Oryzias latipes: one gene and its partners. The protein of the gene in region 1 purifies or fractionates together with the protein of each later gene. This does not show direct contact. Links are inferred from orthologs where the notes say so. Each region holds a gene or a part of one and is shown on either strand. Other genes may lie near its edges.

Evidence for each region. The genes of interacting proteins can lie anywhere in the genome.
Region 2: the proteins of faf2 (region 1) and ubl4a purify together in Homo sapiens (affinity purification with mass spectrometry; 3 studies listed by BioGRID and IntAct, with this or other methods). This does not show direct contact. The link is inferred for Oryzias latipes from reciprocal best matches to the Homo sapiens genes FAF2 and UBL4A.
Region 3: the proteins of faf2 (region 1) and derl2 purify together in Homo sapiens (affinity purification with mass spectrometry; 5 studies listed by BioGRID and IntAct, counting the BioPlex papers as one, with this or other methods). This does not show direct contact. The link is inferred for Oryzias latipes from reciprocal best matches to the Homo sapiens genes FAF2 and DERL2.

What each region holds. Positions count from the first base shown.
Region 1 is NC_019868.2:20,363,583-20,368,495, reverse strand, and holds part of faf2 (FAS-associated factor 2), read left to right. Parts: coding exon 1-55; intron 56-260; coding exon 261-337; intron 338-427; coding exon 428-566; intron 567-673; coding exon 674-759; intron 760-2,086; coding exon 2,087-2,178; intron 2,179-2,621; coding exon 2,622-2,799; intron 2,800-3,756; coding exon 3,757-3,928; intron 3,929-4,011; coding exon 4,012-4,155; intron 4,156-4,389; coding exon 4,390-4,572; 3' UTR 4,573-4,913. UniProt on the Homo sapiens protein: Plays an important role in endoplasmic reticulum-associated degradation (ERAD) that mediates ubiquitin-dependent degradation of misfolded endoplasmic reticulum proteins.
Region 2 is NC_019867.2:16,994,124-17,000,933, forward strand, and holds ubl4a (ubiquitin-like protein 4A), read left to right. Parts: upstream 1-2,304; 5' UTR 2,305-2,452; coding exon 2,453-2,500; intron 2,501-3,690; coding exon 3,691-3,796; intron 3,797-3,884; coding exon 3,885-4,090; intron 4,091-4,286; coding exon 4,287-4,394; 3' UTR 4,395-4,878; downstream 4,879-6,810. Other genes in the region: cGMP-dependent protein kinase 1-like, read right to left, coding at 1-82, 481-647, 825-942, 1,015-1,201; dynamin-1-like protein, read left to right, coding at 5,775-5,876, 6,090-6,231, 6,412-6,450, 6,643-6,689, 6,779-6,810. UniProt on the Homo sapiens protein: As part of a cytosolic protein quality control complex, the BAG6/BAT3 complex, maintains misfolded and hydrophobic patches-containing proteins in a soluble state and participates in their proper delivery to the endoplasmic reticulum or alternatively can promote their sorting to the proteasome where they undergo degradation.
Region 3 is NC_019870.2:24,448,371-24,455,242, reverse strand, and holds the start of derl2 (derlin-2), read left to right. Parts: upstream 1-2,366; 5' UTR 2,367-2,421; coding exon 2,422-2,514; intron 2,515-5,374; coding exon 5,375-5,440; intron 5,441-5,545; coding exon 5,546-5,619; intron 5,620-5,952; coding exon 5,953-6,046; intron 6,047-6,837; coding exon 6,838-6,872.

The DNA of each region.
Region 1 (4,913 bases):
TAACACAGCAGACCATAGAGTTTATAGTTACATCGTTTCACGGCCTCAACCCCGGGTATGTCTTTATTCGTATTATCTCAACCCCAGATAAGATTAGTAGAAAAAAATTGTTTATTCTAGCTTGATATGTATGGTCTTTGAAACTATGGCACTGTTGTTTTTCTAGAAGTCGTCTCTGTTTTTCTTTTGATTTGTCATTGTGTGTTGCTGTTCAGTTTTTATTTATTTATTATTAATTGCTATTAAATGCTATTTTGCAGGGATTACTAGGATGGAGTTACTACTTGATAATGCTCCCCTTCAGATTTACATATTACACACTCCTGGACATATTCAGGTAATTGAATCACATCTGCTTAAGGTACTTTTGCTCATTTATGCATTAAAGCAATAGAGTTTCACATGTGTCCTCCCCTTTATTTTCAAGGTTTGCCCTACGGTTCATTAGGCCAGATCCTCGCGGTCGCGTGACAGACCCTGTTGGAGATGTGGTGTCTTTTATTCAAAGTTTTGAAGAGAAGTATGGCCGGTCACATCCTGTGTTTTACCAGGGGACCTACAGCCAGGTGAAAAGATAGTTGGAGAGAATAGAAACACATTTAACAGAAGCGGATAGATGGAATGGCATAGAAACTGAGCACGTTTGTGTTGTCTGTTTGTGTTTGCTTTGCAGGCACTGAATGATGCCAAACGGGAACTCCGCTACCTGTTAGTGTATCTTCATGGAGACGACCATCAAGACACAGACGAGTTTTGCCGGTATAGTAATCATCTTTGTGTTGTGGCCATCTGGACTCCTGAATATGTAGCACTCATTCAAAGACTGTTGATATATTAGCCCAATAGAGCTGTTACGAGTATCTGAATACTCGAATATTTACAATCTGTTCCCGAAAATGCAACTACAATGTGATGTCAGAGATTTCCGAATTATGATCTTCCAAATACCAAAAATCTAATTATGTTGTCTGAAGTGTATTTTTACTATGAAATGTAGTGAAAATACACTTCAGACCATGTAATTACTGCTCAAAGATGCTATTAAATTACAAATTTTCAGTTTATATACTAAACAAACTGAATGTGCAACTGTTAGGGAAGTAAATGAAATTTCAGAGTAAAGTGTCGGTGAAGGTTCTTATTTTCTAATGACTTAGATAAAAAAAAAAGACTGAAGTTCAGTTTACTAATATGTGTTCTGAAAAAAATAAATTTGTTTGAAATATATTAATAAAAATAAAGATGAATAGGAATTTTAGAATATTATGAAAATTGTATCAATTTCCTTTTAAGTTTTTTTTTGTTTTCTCGATTGAACATTACAGAACAAGGCTTAACACAGCGAACCAGCAAAAGAATCCAGTAATTACAGCCGGAAACCCAAATGCAGAACAACAGACAATGGCGAGACAGAGTAAACGCAGTTTTGTTATGCGGGGCTTGTGTTCTTCTGTCTGGAGACACTTTGTCAGTTTAGATCAAAGGACTGTTTTCTTGTTGCTACAGAGTTGCTTTTATTTAGGTATTGCTGTGTCTTTTCGTAATTTATTTACTGTAATTATAGTCAGCTAAAATTTGAGGTTTGAAAATCTGTGGAGGACATTTTCAGTAGTTTGTTGTAAAATGGCACAAACAGCTGTGACATTTGTTTTGTTTACTGCAGAAGTCAACCAGGAAGTTCACCGAAGAACTTTTGAGGGTGACACTGTTTAAAGTGATCATTTCTTTCTTAGTGTTTTTATATTTTATTTTTCATTTAGCCTGGTCTCCTCTTTAAGATAAAGGTATAGATGATGATGATTAAATACATACTATTTCACTTCTAATTCATCCATTGCAAAGATATTCAGTGGTGGGCAAAATTGTTGGTAGCCTTCAGTTAAAGAAAGTCCACAATACTCACTGAATGTTTATGGAAAATAGTGAGAATTTGGGTTTGATTTCAGATGGCTTAAGTAACAATCTACAGCTCTATCCATTTATTGAATTTAACATCTGTATAAAAAAATGTATAGCTAGCTGCTTTGGGATAATATATCCAGACTAAAGAAGTATTTGTTTTGTTATCTACTGTTTCCCTTTTTAGTTCGACGTTATGTACAGAAGAAGTCATAACCTTCCTCAACACACAAATGCTGTTTTGGGCATGTTCAACCAGCAAGCCTGAAGGCTACAGAGGTTTGTCCTTTTTATGCCGTCAGTCAAATACTTTTGTAAAATGTCACTCGTTGTTCTGAACATCAAGTTCATGTTTGATAAAATAAGGTTCTTTCTAATGCAATTTATCCATATTTAATTACCAAGACAGGGTTATTTTTAATAAGGAAATCTGCATCATTGACATTCATATTTTAGTACAAAGTAATTTTTACTCTGGTGTTGTAAAATAATGTTTCTAAAGGTACTGTTTTATATAATAATTTCAAAGATGCTGCTTTTTATCTTAAATATTTTTAATTTATAAAAAAATATAGCTTATTAAATCTGCATAGCCATTTAACTCAGACCTTGGAGTGGCACAAATATATCCAAAAGGAAAATGTTTTATTATGAATTAGTAGCATCCCGCTTCTGCTCCAACAAAAGTACTTGAGTGTCTGGTTTGAATGTTGTGGTTGAAGTGTCCCAAGCTTTGCGGGAGAACACCTATCCATTCCTGGCCATGATCATGCTCAAGGACCGCAGGATGACTGTGGTGGGCAGACTGGAGGGTCTCATTCAGCCAGAAGACTTCATCAATCAGCTCACCTTCATCATGGATGCCAACCAAACATATCTGATGTCAGAGCGCCTTGAACGGTGTGTGAAACGGGATCTTTTTTAATATCTTAACAGGAAATCGATTTTGTTTATATTTGATCTTAAAAATTAAATTGATCACTAGTGTATCAACGATCTGAAACAAATATGTGGGTTAAAGCCTTTTTCTTATTTTATTTAATGTGCATTAAGCACATTAAACTCATTGTAAAATGTGTGATGCTCATGTGAGTCAAAGCGGTGCAGACAGGCACTGCACACTAATGCACAGCCACTAAACAACAGTTGGAGTTGAGATGACGTTTTAGTTGCAACATGGACATTTATAGAGAGTTGGATGACGTTTCTGTTGAAGCTCAATGTTCTAAAAGAAATGGTTGCTTTTATTATAGAAAGTTGTGGTGTAGATCTTCTGGGTTAAAACCACCACATGGTATCGGTTAATGCTACCAAAATAGACGTGTACTGTGAAATTCATTTTCATTTAACACGATATGAAAAAGAAAATTTGAGAATTAGAGAAAATGTGAGATTTTTCATTCAGTTTCTGTGCAAAAAGTTAACAAAGAGGGTCAGGTGGTCCTTAACTAGACCCATAAGTCCCCGCATATCGCTCGATATAGGGGGACTGCAACAGTTATGGTTTTTGTTTTTTATGGTTTTATATAAGTTCTTTTTCTCTTTTTTAACACATTTCTGAACACTTTTGGGTTAGAGTAAGTTGTATAATTTCTGCTCCTGGCTGATGGTGTCAGGTGGCATCGTGTCTGAAGCCAGGTCTCTCCTCTTGTGAGTTAGACATCACGTTCAAATCATCATCAAAGTCGTTTTATAATGGTCTTATCGTTGCTTTAAATACCTATATACTCCGTGTTTAATAAGCATTTACTGGGATAATAAACAACACATATTAATTTTTAATTAATTAATTTAATTAATTTAATTAATTTTTAATTAATTTTATTAATTAACTTAAATAAATATTTTGGTTTATAGTGAGGAGAGAAACCAGACCCAAGTTTTGAGGCAGCAGCAAGACGAGGCTTATCTCGTCTCCCTCCGTGCCGACCAGGAAAAGGAGAGAAAGAAAAGGGAGGAGCTGGAGCAGCGAAGGCAAGAGGAAGAGAAGGTCCGGCAGAGTGCTCTTGCTGAGGAGCGGAGACGGAGGGTGACTATTGCTTTCTTTAGATAAGAACAATGTTCTCGCCATGTAAAACGTTCTCAATTAAATGGCACGCTTTTGGATTTCAGAACCTGGAGGAGGAGAAGGAGAGGAAGTCTGAATGTCTTCCATTGGAGCCTCCTGCAGATGATCCAGAAAGTGTCAAAATAGTGTTCAAGCTGCCCAATGACACACGGGTGGAACGGCGATTCCTGTTTGGCCAATCTCTGACGGTCAGTAACGGTTGAAATCAGATTTCTGTTTGGTGAATTCTAAAATGCATTAAGATTTTCTTCTTTGGTTTAACTAACTTTGATTTTTAAAAAGGTTTTAAACAAAGTTATGTTAGAGATAGCTTAAGTAAAACTCTAAAAAGCATTGAGTTTTTCCCCAATAAATAATGTTTTTCCAGAAGCACCTTACACGTACGCTGATGCATCTATGATTGACTGATTTATCTTCCACAGGTAATACACGACTTCCTGTTCTCTTTGAAAGAAACGCCAGAGAAGTTTCAGATAGTCACAAACTTCCCTCGTCGAGTCTTGCCCTGCCTCCCCACTGAAGAACAACCCAACCCCCCCTCACTAAAAGAGGCTGGGCTCAGCCGCTCGGAGGTACTTTTTGTTCAAGACCTTACGGACGATTGATAGATGGTACCACCTCCCTCTGTGGAAACCGATTTCTCCTCTGACAGCCACTCATCTTCCTCCCCTCCTCTTTTTCATATTGTGTTAAATGGCCATTATGCATAAGGGATCATTGAGCTTGACCTGGAGAGTTGAACCACCCCTGCATTCAGTGCTTGTTTGGTTGACAGGGTTCCCAATAGCCTGGAAAGTCTTGAATTTTTTCAAATAAATATATCTCTTGGAAGTCCTTACCCGAGCTCATCTTTGTTTCTGTGCAGAAAGCTTCTTTATCATCCGTACTAGATACCGGTTAACTCTTGTTCTTCCTTCTCATTCAGTGTTGCAGCATTGAACTAATC
Region 2 (6,810 bases), on another chromosome or scaffold:
AGGAGTGCCAGCTCGCCAATCGTATCCCCTGGTTCAATTGTCAGCAGCTTGCACCCGTCTTGAGTCACGCTCAATCTTCCTTCTGTCAACATCACACACTTAGTAGGAAAAAGGAGCACATTGATAGTATAGAATCCATGTCGGATAAAAGTAACTGTCAGCTTGATGCGCACTTCATGCACAAAAGATGGTTCAAGTGACAAGACTGAAAGCAGGAGGCAGCTTCCTCTCTGATGAAATCTACGTTCAGTTCATGACCTCTTTTCTCCTGGTATTCTTGTTCATGTTCCCCGTCTTTAAGCGGGAGCTATTTGTGTGCTTTAAACCATAAAGCTGTCATCAAATGCAAAAAAAAAAAAAAACAAGCTGCAAAATGAGTTTTAAAAAGCAGTTGTTGGTGAAAACAAATTATTTTAGCCACTTTCCTCACAAGAAACCTCTAATAAATAATCTTAAGGATGACAGATGGCAGCAATTTACCTTCTAAAATAAAAGCCTGCTCCCCAGCGCTCCCCTCCTGTATGAGAGTGCAGTTTTGATTGATGGAGCAGCGATATGTGCAGGATGTGACAGCTCTCATTTCTCCTTCGTCTAAGTTCTTCAACAGGTCGTTTTTCAAAAGCCCTGCCTGGATCAGGCTTTGAGATCTGATGACACACAGGGATGATAAAGATGCAACACTCCGAGTGTAGCTGTCAATCACCTTAAATGCCGCGCCACAAGCCACAAATGCTGACTCAAAATGCTTGACCATTGAGTGATGCTAAAAAATTTGAAAAGTTGGCCTTCTTAGCTGAAGTTGGAGGAACACAGTGTGCTCTTACTGTTGACTTTTGTCACAGCTTTTGTGTGAAATCCTGGCGAGAGTCACGGGGTCCGGGCTGAAGGGTTCTGAAATGACTGTGTGCTTTTTAGCTCGCTCCATGCCCTCAATTTGAGGAGCTATAAAAAATAATTGAGATTTTTAGGTCACGTCTACAACCTGTACTTTTAAATGATTGACCTACTCTTTACCTGCACTGGGTGAGGGTCCTGAGAGGCAAACAGTGGTCCTGTAACGGTCCAGTTCTTCCTGTAGCCTTCGAATGAGTTCATCCTTTGTATCCAGTTCAAGCTCCAACTCATCTATGAGTGTGTCTCTCTGGCGGAGCTCCTCGATTTTTAGTTGCAGAGCAAACTGGAGGTCCCTCAGTGTACCCATGATCTGCAGGCATCAGCCAGGAAAGCACAAAGATAAACAGCTCGTTGCTATGAGAATAAAAAAGAAATTGTAATTTTTTATTTCACAAACTTAAATATGAAAAATATTATGCATATCTATCTATGTCAAAATGCTGCCTTGCAATTGTAGCACACATTTCCATCCAGGTTAAAGGCAAAAACAATTCATTGTCAAGTGCATCATAAGTTTATCCCACTAAAAAGAATACATTTTCAGAGTAAACAAATTATACTTTTTTTTATTATGTACGTTTTATGTGAAGCTGCAAGGTTTTATGTAGGCTATATAAAAATTGTCAAAAGAGAAAAAAACAATAACAAAGATAAATTGTCTTTATCATCTTAAATTTAATTACACTCAGCCACAGATCCATTGTTTTTTCAACACCTAATTGATGGATGGTACACAAATGCTACTCACCGGTGTAGGTGAGCAGTCCGCCTGGCGTCCTCAAGTGAAGGATGCTGGTCAGGAGGAATGCCCACAGCGCAGACAGGCGGTCACGTGACGCGGGCTCCCTCCAACCACGAGGAGGGGGAACAGAATGACACATGCACAGGCTGGATCCGAACTGGGTCAGAGGAAAGTAGTTCTAATGGGAAAATTTGACACTAAATTTTGCTTTCGGAAAGAAAAAAGAACGAGCATCTGCCCGACTTTGGACATTAAAAAAATGTCAATGCTGTAAACGCATTTTTTGTGAAAATCTTTTTGTGTATTGAACATAAGCAATAGAAGGTGGTCAGGTAATTATGGGTAAATTGTAACAGTAATCTACAGGTGAGTCGGATCCAATTTTCTTTTCAAATTGACAAACACGTTACTATTCAAATGTAATGTAATGACAAAAGTTTATCACCATGTTTTTTGTCTGTCAAAGGAAAAAAAACACCCATGTGTGTACAGGTGTATTGGCACAGTATCCTGCTTAGGAGATCAATTTGGATATCATCGCCTAACCACTTTAGTTCCGATAAACTTTTAATTGAACTTTAATCGTGGTGTCATTTCTTCTTAGCTGCGGTACATCCTTCATGCCAGTAGGCGGCAGCAGCATTACTTGATGTCAGCAACAGAGGCAGTGGCATCGTTGAGAGGAAACAGGAGAAGAAGATGGGACGCTGACGGGACCACAGCCAGTGTGGCTATAACGAGCAAACTTAGTAACCCTTTTGGCTGGACTTTAATCACATTATTGTGTGTTTTTGTTTTTAGTGAGAGTGTTGAAAAATGATTCTTACAGTAAAGCCACTTCAAGGGAAGGAGTGCAGTGTTCAGGTTAGTTAAAAAATCGAACTCCATAATGCTAATTTGCACAATCAGCTAGCCGGGTATATCTGTTAGCCGCTCAGCATCATAAGTTTTTTAAAGTGCTTTGAATAAAGTGAACATAAATTTAATTTATTAGTGACTGTAACTCTAACACTAACCAGTACTAAAGATGCGGTTGTACATATACACACCCGTTTATAGTTCTAAAGCAGCTTTACCGCAGCTAGCATGTTAGCTAATTTAGAAATGCAAGACGAAGAACTCTTTCTGTCTGAATCATTCTCGCTGAGGTCACGCCCAGCAGCTGAGTGGAAGTTGTTGTTACTCCTTACTTGGTGCTAATGCAGTAAAGAGAAGTGAGTAAGGAACCGCGGTGTATTAGAGGACTTTGTTTGGTCAGCGCGTTGAAACAAAAAACGGTGTTGGTATTATTTTACAGTTCAGCAGTTATATTTGCTGCTCCTGGATGTGCCTTTGTGTCAAATCAGTTAAGACATACAGTTGCATGAAAGCAGCATTATGAACCTGCTTCTCTTATCACAAATTTAGAATTGTATATATTTTTCATTTACATAAAGTAATCATTTTAAAACTCCACAGCACTTCATTAACTTTTTTAATTATGTAGTTATATATTCTATTTATAATTTTTTTTAACCAAAACATTTTTTTGGTTTTGTGTTGTTCTTATTTTGAGTACCGTAGTACTTATGATCATGTTTTTTTTCTTTAATGCCAACTTTAAAGTGTAGCGGTAATTACACATTATACATTATATATGGCTGTTCTTCAGATTAAGTCAAACATGTGCACTTAAAATTGGTCATACAAAGCCATTTAAGACATCTATTGAATTAGATTTTAAGCCGAGAATTTTATCCCAGACAAGACAGTGAGTTTTCGGCACATTTCGAAAAAAATACGAAGGCTTTGAATAAACAATATATTTGTAATTGTTTTGAATTATTGTAACAAATGTTTTTGTCTTGAGCTGATAAAACGTTTTCACAATAGGTACTTTGTTACTTTATTACATAAAATGAATTATTTATTTTGCCCGTTTAATACTGTTTTTATGTATTCATTTTTTTTATTATTGCATCCTTAGAACTTGTTTTCCCCGCAGTCTTTCTATACCAGTTGACTCTATTGTTCTTGTTTAAATTACAGTTTAAGAATTTGTTTTTATCCCACAGGTGACAGAAGATGAAAAGGTTTCCACAGTGAAGGAACTTGTTTCTGAGCAACTCAACATACCAGCAAACCAGCAGCGGCTGCTTTACAAAGGAAAGGCACTGGCAGGTAAAATTTGCCTACTACTTTTTTTTCTTTCCTTTATACTTTTGTCAGGTTCATAATTTATCTTTCTGTATGCCCTTTTTTCTTTCAGATGAACACAGACTTAGTGATTATTCCATTGGACCAGAGGCTAAATTGAACCTAGTAATCCGTCCTGCAGGAGAAAGATCTGCAGCCTCAGCAGTGACTGGCTGCAGCAGCAGGAACATGGGAGGACTGTGGCAGACTGTGTCCACTATACTTGCTAGACACTTCAGTCCAGCAGATGCAGCAAAAGTTCATGAACAGCTTATAAAGGTAAGATAAGTTTTTATTCATGGTTTCCCAAAAGTTGTAATGGTTAAAGTTCTGTTACTGCCTTTCAAACCCACTATATAAATTATATTACAAAACGAATGTCTATTTTAACTATTTAAAATAATTTGTCATGTTGTGAGCTTGACAGTTAAGCTCCTCTTTGTTATTACTAAACTTTGTTTTTGTTTGTTTTTAGGACTATGAACGTTCACTTCGACAGCTCAGCCTGGATGACATTGAACGACTAGCAGTGCGATTGCTTCACCCTGACAGCGAGAGCATGGACACCTCCTACATGGACTAGCATTGGAAAACCTAAATCTACTTTGTATGAATAGATTTAGGAGAAACTACATGTTTGGGAAAATAAATGTGAGGCCATTGAGAATACAATGTGTGCCTAATCAGTGATTATTGATATTGCTGACTTGTGTCAGTGACTAATGTTTATCTCAGCAATAGGGCTTTCTCATGTGTGTTTTCTCTTCTATTTTTAATATTGACACCATTTGTTGAAAGACTAGTTTTTTTTGTGTAAAATCAAAACACAAAAACATTGTTTCGTGCTAATGTTGCTTGATTTCTGGCTGCTGCAATTCCAGGCAACACTAACTTCCACTTGAGACTATTTATTATTCATGTCAGCGTTGAATGATGCCTGTTTTTATTTTATTTTTTTCATTTAAACGTGGGATAAAAGAATACACACATCTTTTATTGTTCAGATGGCCATTGTGCGATTTGTAAATATTGTTTATATATGACGACAATAAAAGATCAAGAAATTACTACGTTTTTTTGTTTTTTTTACGTTGTATTGTGAGAAATAGTTGTGTTTTGTGTAAATATTGCCGGTTTGGAAACAAGGAGAAGGAAGACTGAAGAGAATGTCGCAAGGCGGGACATTTTATTTTACCGCTGGGCGAGAACAATTAAGGGAGCCAATGAAGCAATAGCAAGACACGTGATCTATGTTTTTTGACCAATCAGGTGGGTTGCCACCAACGCTCCGCCCCTCTTTCCAAGCATTTGGTCTGTGCTTTATGTTCTGGTTACTTGTAAACCAGCTCCTATAAAATGGTGTATTTTAAACATATTTAGCATAATTTAAAGTATGAAACATAGAATAGTCGGATAGGGGTGGATATATTCGTAAACACTGAAAAGGTAAGAATGTAATATCGGGTTTATTTATTTATTTATGGCCAGTAAGCTAATGTTAGCATGAAGCTAGCAGCACATACTGTACTTCCTGCATTCATCCAGCGAGCGTTAGCAGATAACATTTATTACCTCGGACTTTGTCGATAACAAATGTCTAAAATGTACGTGCTGTCACCTTTGCTACCGGCAATCAATAGTTAATTTTAAATTTCAAATCCCTTCAAGCTAGTAAGTAGTACATTGTATCCGATGTTGGTCGAGTTGAGGCGTTGAGTCCTCTCATCATGATCATCAGGACCACTTCTCCCTGGAGAAAAGCCTTAGTAGGATAGCAACGCGCCACAGAGGAGGAAAACTGAAGATCCTGTTCCTTAGAGCTAAGCCTAAGGTTATCAATTAAACATGTTAGAGATGGTTGCATCCATGAAGCAAACAGCCTTGTTTCTCGTTGTTGAGTGTCTTGATGTTTCTGTTCACATCCCTCATGTGTTCACCAACAGTAGGAGAGACGACTGGAAAGATGGAAACTTTGATTCCCACCATCAACCGGCTGCAAGAGGTCTTTCAGACGGTCGGGACAGAGATCATACAGCTGCCTCAGATAGTCGTGGTTGGGACTCAGGTCAGTGGATGGAAACCAGAATTGGAAAACTGAGTGAAAACAATGTTGTGTTTGTACACTTATCTTGTCTTGATTATTGGATAATCATCCAGAGTAGATGTATACTAAAGTATGGTTTCACCCAGTTCAGGGTTCTAGTTAAAAAGTTCTTTTTAAATTAAAAATAGATGATGTCCTGTTATTACTCATGTGCTGTCGTTGTTTTTATAACAGAGCAGTGGAAAAAGCTCAGTGCTAGAGAGCCTGGTCGGAAGGGATTTTTTGCCTCGGGGATCTGGAATAGTCACAAGACGACCCCTTGTGTTGCAGCTCGTCAATGTTGCTCCACAACAGGAAAGGCTGAAGAATGAGCATGGTAAACAGATTATGACTCAATGATAACTCAATTCGATGTAAAACACTTAGGCTTATAATTCTCTCACAGCATTGAGTTATGTTGAAATCTTTCTATGCACTTCTCTCTGTCACTTGGTTTTGATACAGGGTTTTTCTGAACTAACACATTTTCTTCCTCTTTTTCTTTACTACTTTTTAGGAAATGGGCTTAAACAAAATATTCAAAACAGCTACACAGGTCACTATATTTGATCTGCATGAGAAAAAGTTTCTACTTCTTCATGTTTACCATTAACCGTCTCACTCATTTAGTTAATTCAGTTTATTTTCATTATGTTTTTGCCAAATCCTTTTTTTTAAATTCATATTCCATTCTTTTATACTTTAATTCTTCATCCCTGACACTTTTATGCTCTTATTTTCTATTCAGGTGTCAAAGCTGAAGAATGGGGCACATTTCTGCATTGTAAGAACCAGGTATGTTCATCATTTTTATTCTTGTTATGCTTCTGCTTCCTTTGTTTTGCAAGCTTTCTGATGTTTGATGGGTGTGCCTTTCTTAACAGATCTTCACAGATTTTCTGGAAATTCGTAAAGA
Region 3 (6,872 bases), on another chromosome or scaffold:
GTGGAAATGCCTTGTTGATGCCAGAGTTCAGAGGAGAATGTCCAGACTGGTTTCAGTTGATAGAACGGCAACAGTAATTAAAATGACCACTGGTCACAACCAAGGTCTGCAGAAGAGCATCTCTGAACACACAACACTCCTGGCACTCCTGTCATCCAAGAACAGGAAACTGAGGCTACAATTCACACAGACTCACCAAAACTGGACAATAGAAGATTATAAAAACATTGTCTGGTCTGATGGGTCTCCATTTCGCTTCAGATGTTAGGGTCAGAATTTGGCATCGACAACACTATGGATCAATCCTGCCTTGTATCAATGGTTCAGGCTGGTGGTGGTGGTGTAATGGTGTGGGGGACATTCTGTGCACACTTTGGGCCTCTTAGTACCAGTTGAGCATGGGTCCAATGCCACAGCCTACCTGAGTATTGTTGCTGACCATGTCCATCCCTTTCTGACCACAGTGTACCATCTTCTGAAGGCTACTTCCAACAGGATAAGGTGCCATGTAATGAAGCTGGAATCATCTCAGGCTGGTTTCTTGAACATGACAATGAGTTCACTGGACTCAAATGGTCACCACTGTCACCAGATCTCAATCCAACAGAGTACCTTTGGGATGTGGTGGAAACGGGAGATTAGCATCATGAATGTTCGGCCAACGAATCTGCAGCATGATGCTGTCATGTCAATATGGACCAAACCCTCTGAAGAATCTTTCCAGTACCTTGTTAAATCTATGCCACCGATGATTTAAGCAGTTCTGAAGGCAAAAGGGAGTCCAACCTGGTACTAGCAGGGTGTACCTAATAAAGTGGCCAGTGACTGTGTGTCTTTCTTGCCGAGTCTGTTACCATGCAGTGCTTTATGATAACAAACAAGTCATGTCGGCCCCACCTACATAAAATGTTCTAGCTCCATCACTGCTTTTCTATAACAATATTTCACCAAGTACTCACCCAGAGGTCTTAATATCTTTTTGTTGAAACACCCATGCAGCTATTTGCATGTTTACATATAACACACACACTGATGTTCTGTAGAGCTTAAAAACAAACTTTAGACCATACTTCCTGTTTAGCAAAGTGATGGTTACAGCTCTTGGTCCTTTTATTTTGAAAATGTTTATTGATATTTTATGAATCTGTAATTACCCAGCCAGAGAGGATCATACCAAAGTCCTCTGTCATCTCCTAAATTTCTCAGATTTATGAACCTTTAACACCAAACAGAGACACTGTGTCACTGAGCTTTAAAACGCATTTGTTTGGCTTGTTTTTCTGCTAAGTAAAGAGAATGCTATGGTTCTGTAACCCTGCAGCCCTTATTATTAAAAAATGGACAATTAATATATTTATCCAATTTGCTAAACCCTTTTCAGCTGGCAGTCACAGCAAAGAAATATGCCATAATCTTTATGTCATTCTGTCAGGCATCATTATGCTTCTTAAAAGTGTATACAATTCCTTCCTGTTCTTTTTTCTTTTAATCATCATCATCAGCCTATCACGCCACTGCTGGCGGATGGCCTCCATATCTTACTCAACTGGTTATTTTAATAATCCAGTATAATTTGAAGTTGGGAAAATATGTTTTTAGACCACAGTAGTGATATAGCAACAAAAATAGTTATGGCACACTATATTTTAAAGAATTGATCTCTGTTCCCCATTGAGGGCGGGGCTGGAAAGGGGGACACTGTCCAGTGTTTCACCCAAGGCGCCAAAGTAGCCAGGATCGCCTCTGATACTAATAGTTCCTTATTTTGGAGATCACCCAGAGACAATTTATCACTTCATTGATCGGCTCACGTTCAATAATTTTTTGGAAAAATGAGTTCATCATAAGGACCTTTCTTTGAAAAATGGGTAAACATTTTATTTGGTTTCTTTTGAAAGAAGTTAAAAGAAGATTCTAAATTCATACTGAATTTTTTTTTATCATAGCAGCAAAATATCCCATTCACAAATGTAATTACAGTAACCAGAAATCTGATTAGTATAGTTTTATAATTATTTCACTTTCTATATTAACCATATATGAGAGACATCTATCAAAAATGTATGAAAAATAGTCTGTTTATGTACAATACATGTTAGAAGTCATGGTTGGTTTGAGTGTTAGTAATTCCCCCTGGTTCTGTTCCAATGTGTTTACATTGTTCATTGCTCTTTACCGACTGTTTACGTTTTCTAAATAATAATAATAAGAATAATAAGTAGAACTAAGAAAATTAAATTCCATAAAGGTAATGTACAAAACTCAGAGAGTAACATGGAAAGTTCTAGAGCGGAAACGTGACGTAAGGGGTTACTGCCAAAGAGCGGGACGGAGGTCTGAACATTTGTCCTACGGTTTTGAACGCCTCACGGTGTAGAATGACGTGTCAGCGCCGTGCCGGAAGCGTTCAGTCTGTCCAAGATGGCTTACCAGACCTTGCAGCAGGAGTATTTACAGATTCCTATCGTCACCAGAGCTTACACCACGGCCTGCGTCCTCACGACTGCTGCAGTGGTAAGACCCGTTCAGGGACCTCCGTTGCTCGGTACCAGGATACGGTTCTGGTTTGGCTCCAACCGCTCTGTCAGGGAGCCGTGACGTGTTGTCATGATGATGCCCAGCTCTGCTCCCGTATAGAAACATGGAAACGGGGCCATCCTGCGGTGGCGGTTTAGGTGACAAAACGGTCGTTTTCAGATCATCAAACGTGTAGCATTAGCACGTCTGTTCGTGTACGGGAGTGAGTGCGCGGATTGGGTGACAAGGCGCCCCGAAAACCTGGGTTATTTCCCATCTCCCCCTGCTTTCGTTGCCGAACCAGGTCAAAACAGTTAACATTTGGAACTTACTGGTTCCCTTTAGTGGCCTGCTGGGATGACAGGAAGCGAACGCGAAGCTTCAAAATAAAGGCTGGGATGAGGCGGACCGTCATCTTTTTTTTTTTTTTAGAAACGAGGCTTAAACTTGTCTTCATGTCAGCTTCACGTCACAGAAGTTGGTCTCTGAGGTGATGTTTCTGTTTCAGCATCATTGGGACACATTAGTGATGCTGATCTCTAAACTGTAGCATTACAGAGGGTGTGAATGATGAGGAGAGCTTCTTCAAAAATCCCAGAGAGCCTCAGTGATGATGGATTGATGTGGAAAAATGTTAAGCAAGTGTTTAATTACAGAAAAACATGTGCCAGGAGAGAGAACCCAGCTTTTCTTATTATTTTTCTTTTAAATATCAGTCCCGATCAGGTGATGCAACACAGAGCAACCTGACTTTCTCTGCATAAGGAAGGGAAAGATTTCCTCCCCGTCTGCTTTAGACTGCAGGGGGATGCGGGCGCCGCTTTTTGATCCACTTCAGATTGAATGTCTTCAGGTTCGCTGGAGGAGGACTGTCACACACAGCATGATGAGAAAGCTCTCTGTCAGGGGGCCTGTGATGGACCGGCATCCCTCCAGGGGAACCGCACTTCTGGGTTGACACCAGCTGATACGGCTGATACAGCTTCCATTAAACGATTTGGATAAATCTTATTTCCGCTTGTAAATCACTGAAAAGTACAACTTCTTGCTGTGCTATGATCACAGCTGGTGTCTGACAGACACCGGGGTTTATGGGAAAAACTACGTTTATAATAGCGATAAACTTTGGACACATTTGTGCAACAACACTTTCACCAAAACAGGCACGAAAATGACTAATCGGACTCTTCTACTCAGTTTAAAAGCCACACACTCTCCACATACTTTTGTTTTTGTTGCCGGGAAATGGTGTGTTGAAACAAGAGAAAAATGTTAAAGGAAATTAGCAAAAGTGCAGCTGAAATGAAATAAAGGGATTGTGAATGTGACCGTTTGCCTTTTTCTCCAGTTGGGAATTAAAAAATGTTGTTTTATTGCAGCTGGGTCAAAAAAGCAGCTCCTCTATGTCTAAAAATGTGTTCTTAACATTTACCAGCACTAACTGTTGCAATAGTAAGCGGCTGGATGGCTCAGCTGCCTGCATGCAGGACTGATGCTTGGGAAACCAGGGTTCGTTTCCCAGGGGCCATGGTGAGCTTCATCTAGAGGGGGTCCTTGGGCAAGACCCTTCACATTACTGCCTAACCATGTACCCACAAGGGGGCTTGAGCCTAGGTCTGCCTGTGTCGGTCTGCCTGTGTCGGTCCCCAGCCCGCCTGCCTGTGTCGGGAAGGGCATCCAGCATAAAACTCTCTGTCAAACCACCTGTGCAACTCAGTGAAAGCTGATTGGCTTGCGTTTCTGAGTTTTTCTTGATTCAAATTGTTGTGAATCAGAAGCAGATGAAAAAATGCAGTTTGAAAAAGAGCTTATTTGTGACAAAGAAAATATGCTGGGTGGGCCACAAGCTCCCTGCTCCGCTCCATTGTGATGCATTCACTTGCAGACAAATAGATCCGTGTACGTCTGAGCTGCATCTGCCTCGAAACTGTACTGCTGGCAAGCTCCAATTTTCCTCGCCATTTTCCTTGCACCGCTAATGTTAGCTTTGGGCTGTGAGGGGCTCTAAGCTAGCGGGACAGCGTGTAAACAGATGGATGATGGGAAGTGAGGTTGCTCTACGCCAAGCGTCGGAGAAGAATTTCTGATGAACTCCCACTGCTCTGCAGAAATGATGTCCAGTGTCCAGACTTCTTTGCATTCTCTGTTTTATTTAAAAGGAGGAACTCATTTCAAAGTGACAAACTATACTTTTGTAGATATAACTGGGTTCAGGACAGAAGGTCAAAGGGTCATAGGGTTTCACTGCTGGCTGCCTCTTTGATGTAGGATGATTTTTGAATTTTCTAGTAGTAGAGCTTTATAATAAATGTAAAACAAAATCGAATACATTTAAAACGAAAGCAAGTTTTCAGGAAAGTACCGGTTTGCACGTGCAGTCACACCCGCCACTACACTCAACAACATCAGTCTGTGGTAAAAATGCCACCCACAGTAATGACTGCTACACACTTAACCAAACAACTACCGGTAGACAGATTCTTATGAATTGGCAGGAACAGTAGGGATGCCACAATTCTTAGTTTGAAACCAAACAGTGTGTTACACCTTTCAACCATATTTAGGAGAAAGTGAATCATCCCTGACGTCCCTACTGCGTATGTTTGCATGTTTTTATGTTGAAAGTGTCAAACATGGGCTATGATAAATTAGATATATTTAATATTGCTTTATTATGTTACACCAGGCTTGGTATGAGACCACTAGAGGGTTTTCTTCATTCAAATTTGCTTATTAGCAAATTAAAAGGATTTCTCTGTACTTTTAGTCATTTGTTGTTGTTTTTTGATATCGAACCGAAAATATCCAAGAGTTGAGATGTTTCCCCTGACTTGATGTTTATTTGTTCCCGCTGCAGCAACTGGAGATCATCACACCTTTTCAGCTCTACTTCAATCCAGATTTGATTCTGAGGAATTACCAGGTGAGCCGGCTGACTCTCAGGGCGTTCCCTGCACGCCGTCTGCTTCTTTGGTTCCATGCAGTTTACGTATGGATGTCCTTTTCTTTTTTTCTTTTTTTTTTTTAGGTATGGCGGCTAATAACGAACTTCCTGTTTTTTGGTCCAGTTGGCTTCAATTTCCTGTTTAATATGATTTTTCTGTATCCTTCTTGGTTGAGCGGAAGACGTTTTGCATGTTTCAGTTTCAGACAGCCAGTGTTTAATGAACCAGTTTGACAGAGAGATCAGATCACTTGGAGTTTAAAGGGATCCTTGAAATCTTGTATTTTTTTCGCTCGGGGTGTGAAAAACGAACCTTTTCCTTATTTTGATGCAGCAGTCATGTGTGTTCATTCTGCCAGCCCTTTTACAGTAAATGTTTTAATGACTTTCAGATGAATTATATTCTGAACATGCTGCTGCTTGCAATCATTCCAAACATGTGCTTAATGTGGAGACTTTGTGTGCGGGCTTCCTTAACAGTCTGCCCTCAGCTACAGATACTGCCGGATGCTGGAGGAAGGCTCCTTCAGGGGACGAACGGCTGACTTTGTCTTCATGTTCCTCTTTGGGGGCCTTCTGATGACTGTATCCTCCCTGGAAAAGCAGAAGAAGCTCTCATTTCAGAAGCTTGGTGCCAAAAATGATACGTAACCCATCCGACATGATTGCTATGGTTGATGTATTTAACCCATTAGCTACCCACCAAGACAAAATCAATAAAAAATGATTTTTTTTCCTGCTACATATTGCCTGCAACCTTCAACACTTAAAAGAGCCATTTGGGTGGATTTCTCTTTGACCAAAACCTTGTAGGAGACACAAAATTTTATTTCTTCTTATAGATTTGTATTTCTGTTATGATACTTGCACATGAATTGTTGTTTGGCAAAGAGAAAATAGACTTTTTCAAAAAATAAACTAGTTGATACATTTTGACATAGGTTTACATGACTTCCTTTTGAAATAAAACACACCCAGTGTCACAAAGGATCCTCTCAATGCAGCAAATGTAGTAGGTAGTGTAATGTCAGCATTGATTTAAAAAAATAATAAAATAAAAGGAAAGAAAAAGCATAGTTTGTTTTTGTGGTGCGTCTCACCCAGAAATGTGTAAATCCAATGAACCAAAAGGAAGTCAGGTGACAGACCCCTGAACTAAGGGGAATAATACTCAAAATGTTTTTTAAAAATATACATTTTCTGAATGTGCTCTACCATTTGATTGAGCAGACAGTTTAAGGGGAAAACTCAAATCTTTTGATTTTGTTTAAATAATAATTAGTTGTGTAATGTGACTCATCTTGTGTGTTGAGTGTGTGTTGTTCATGCCAGCTCTGCACCAGCAGGATCACCCGGTTTCCTTGACAAGCGTTTAGATTTTTGGCACCTTTGTGAATCTGGTCTTCCTGGG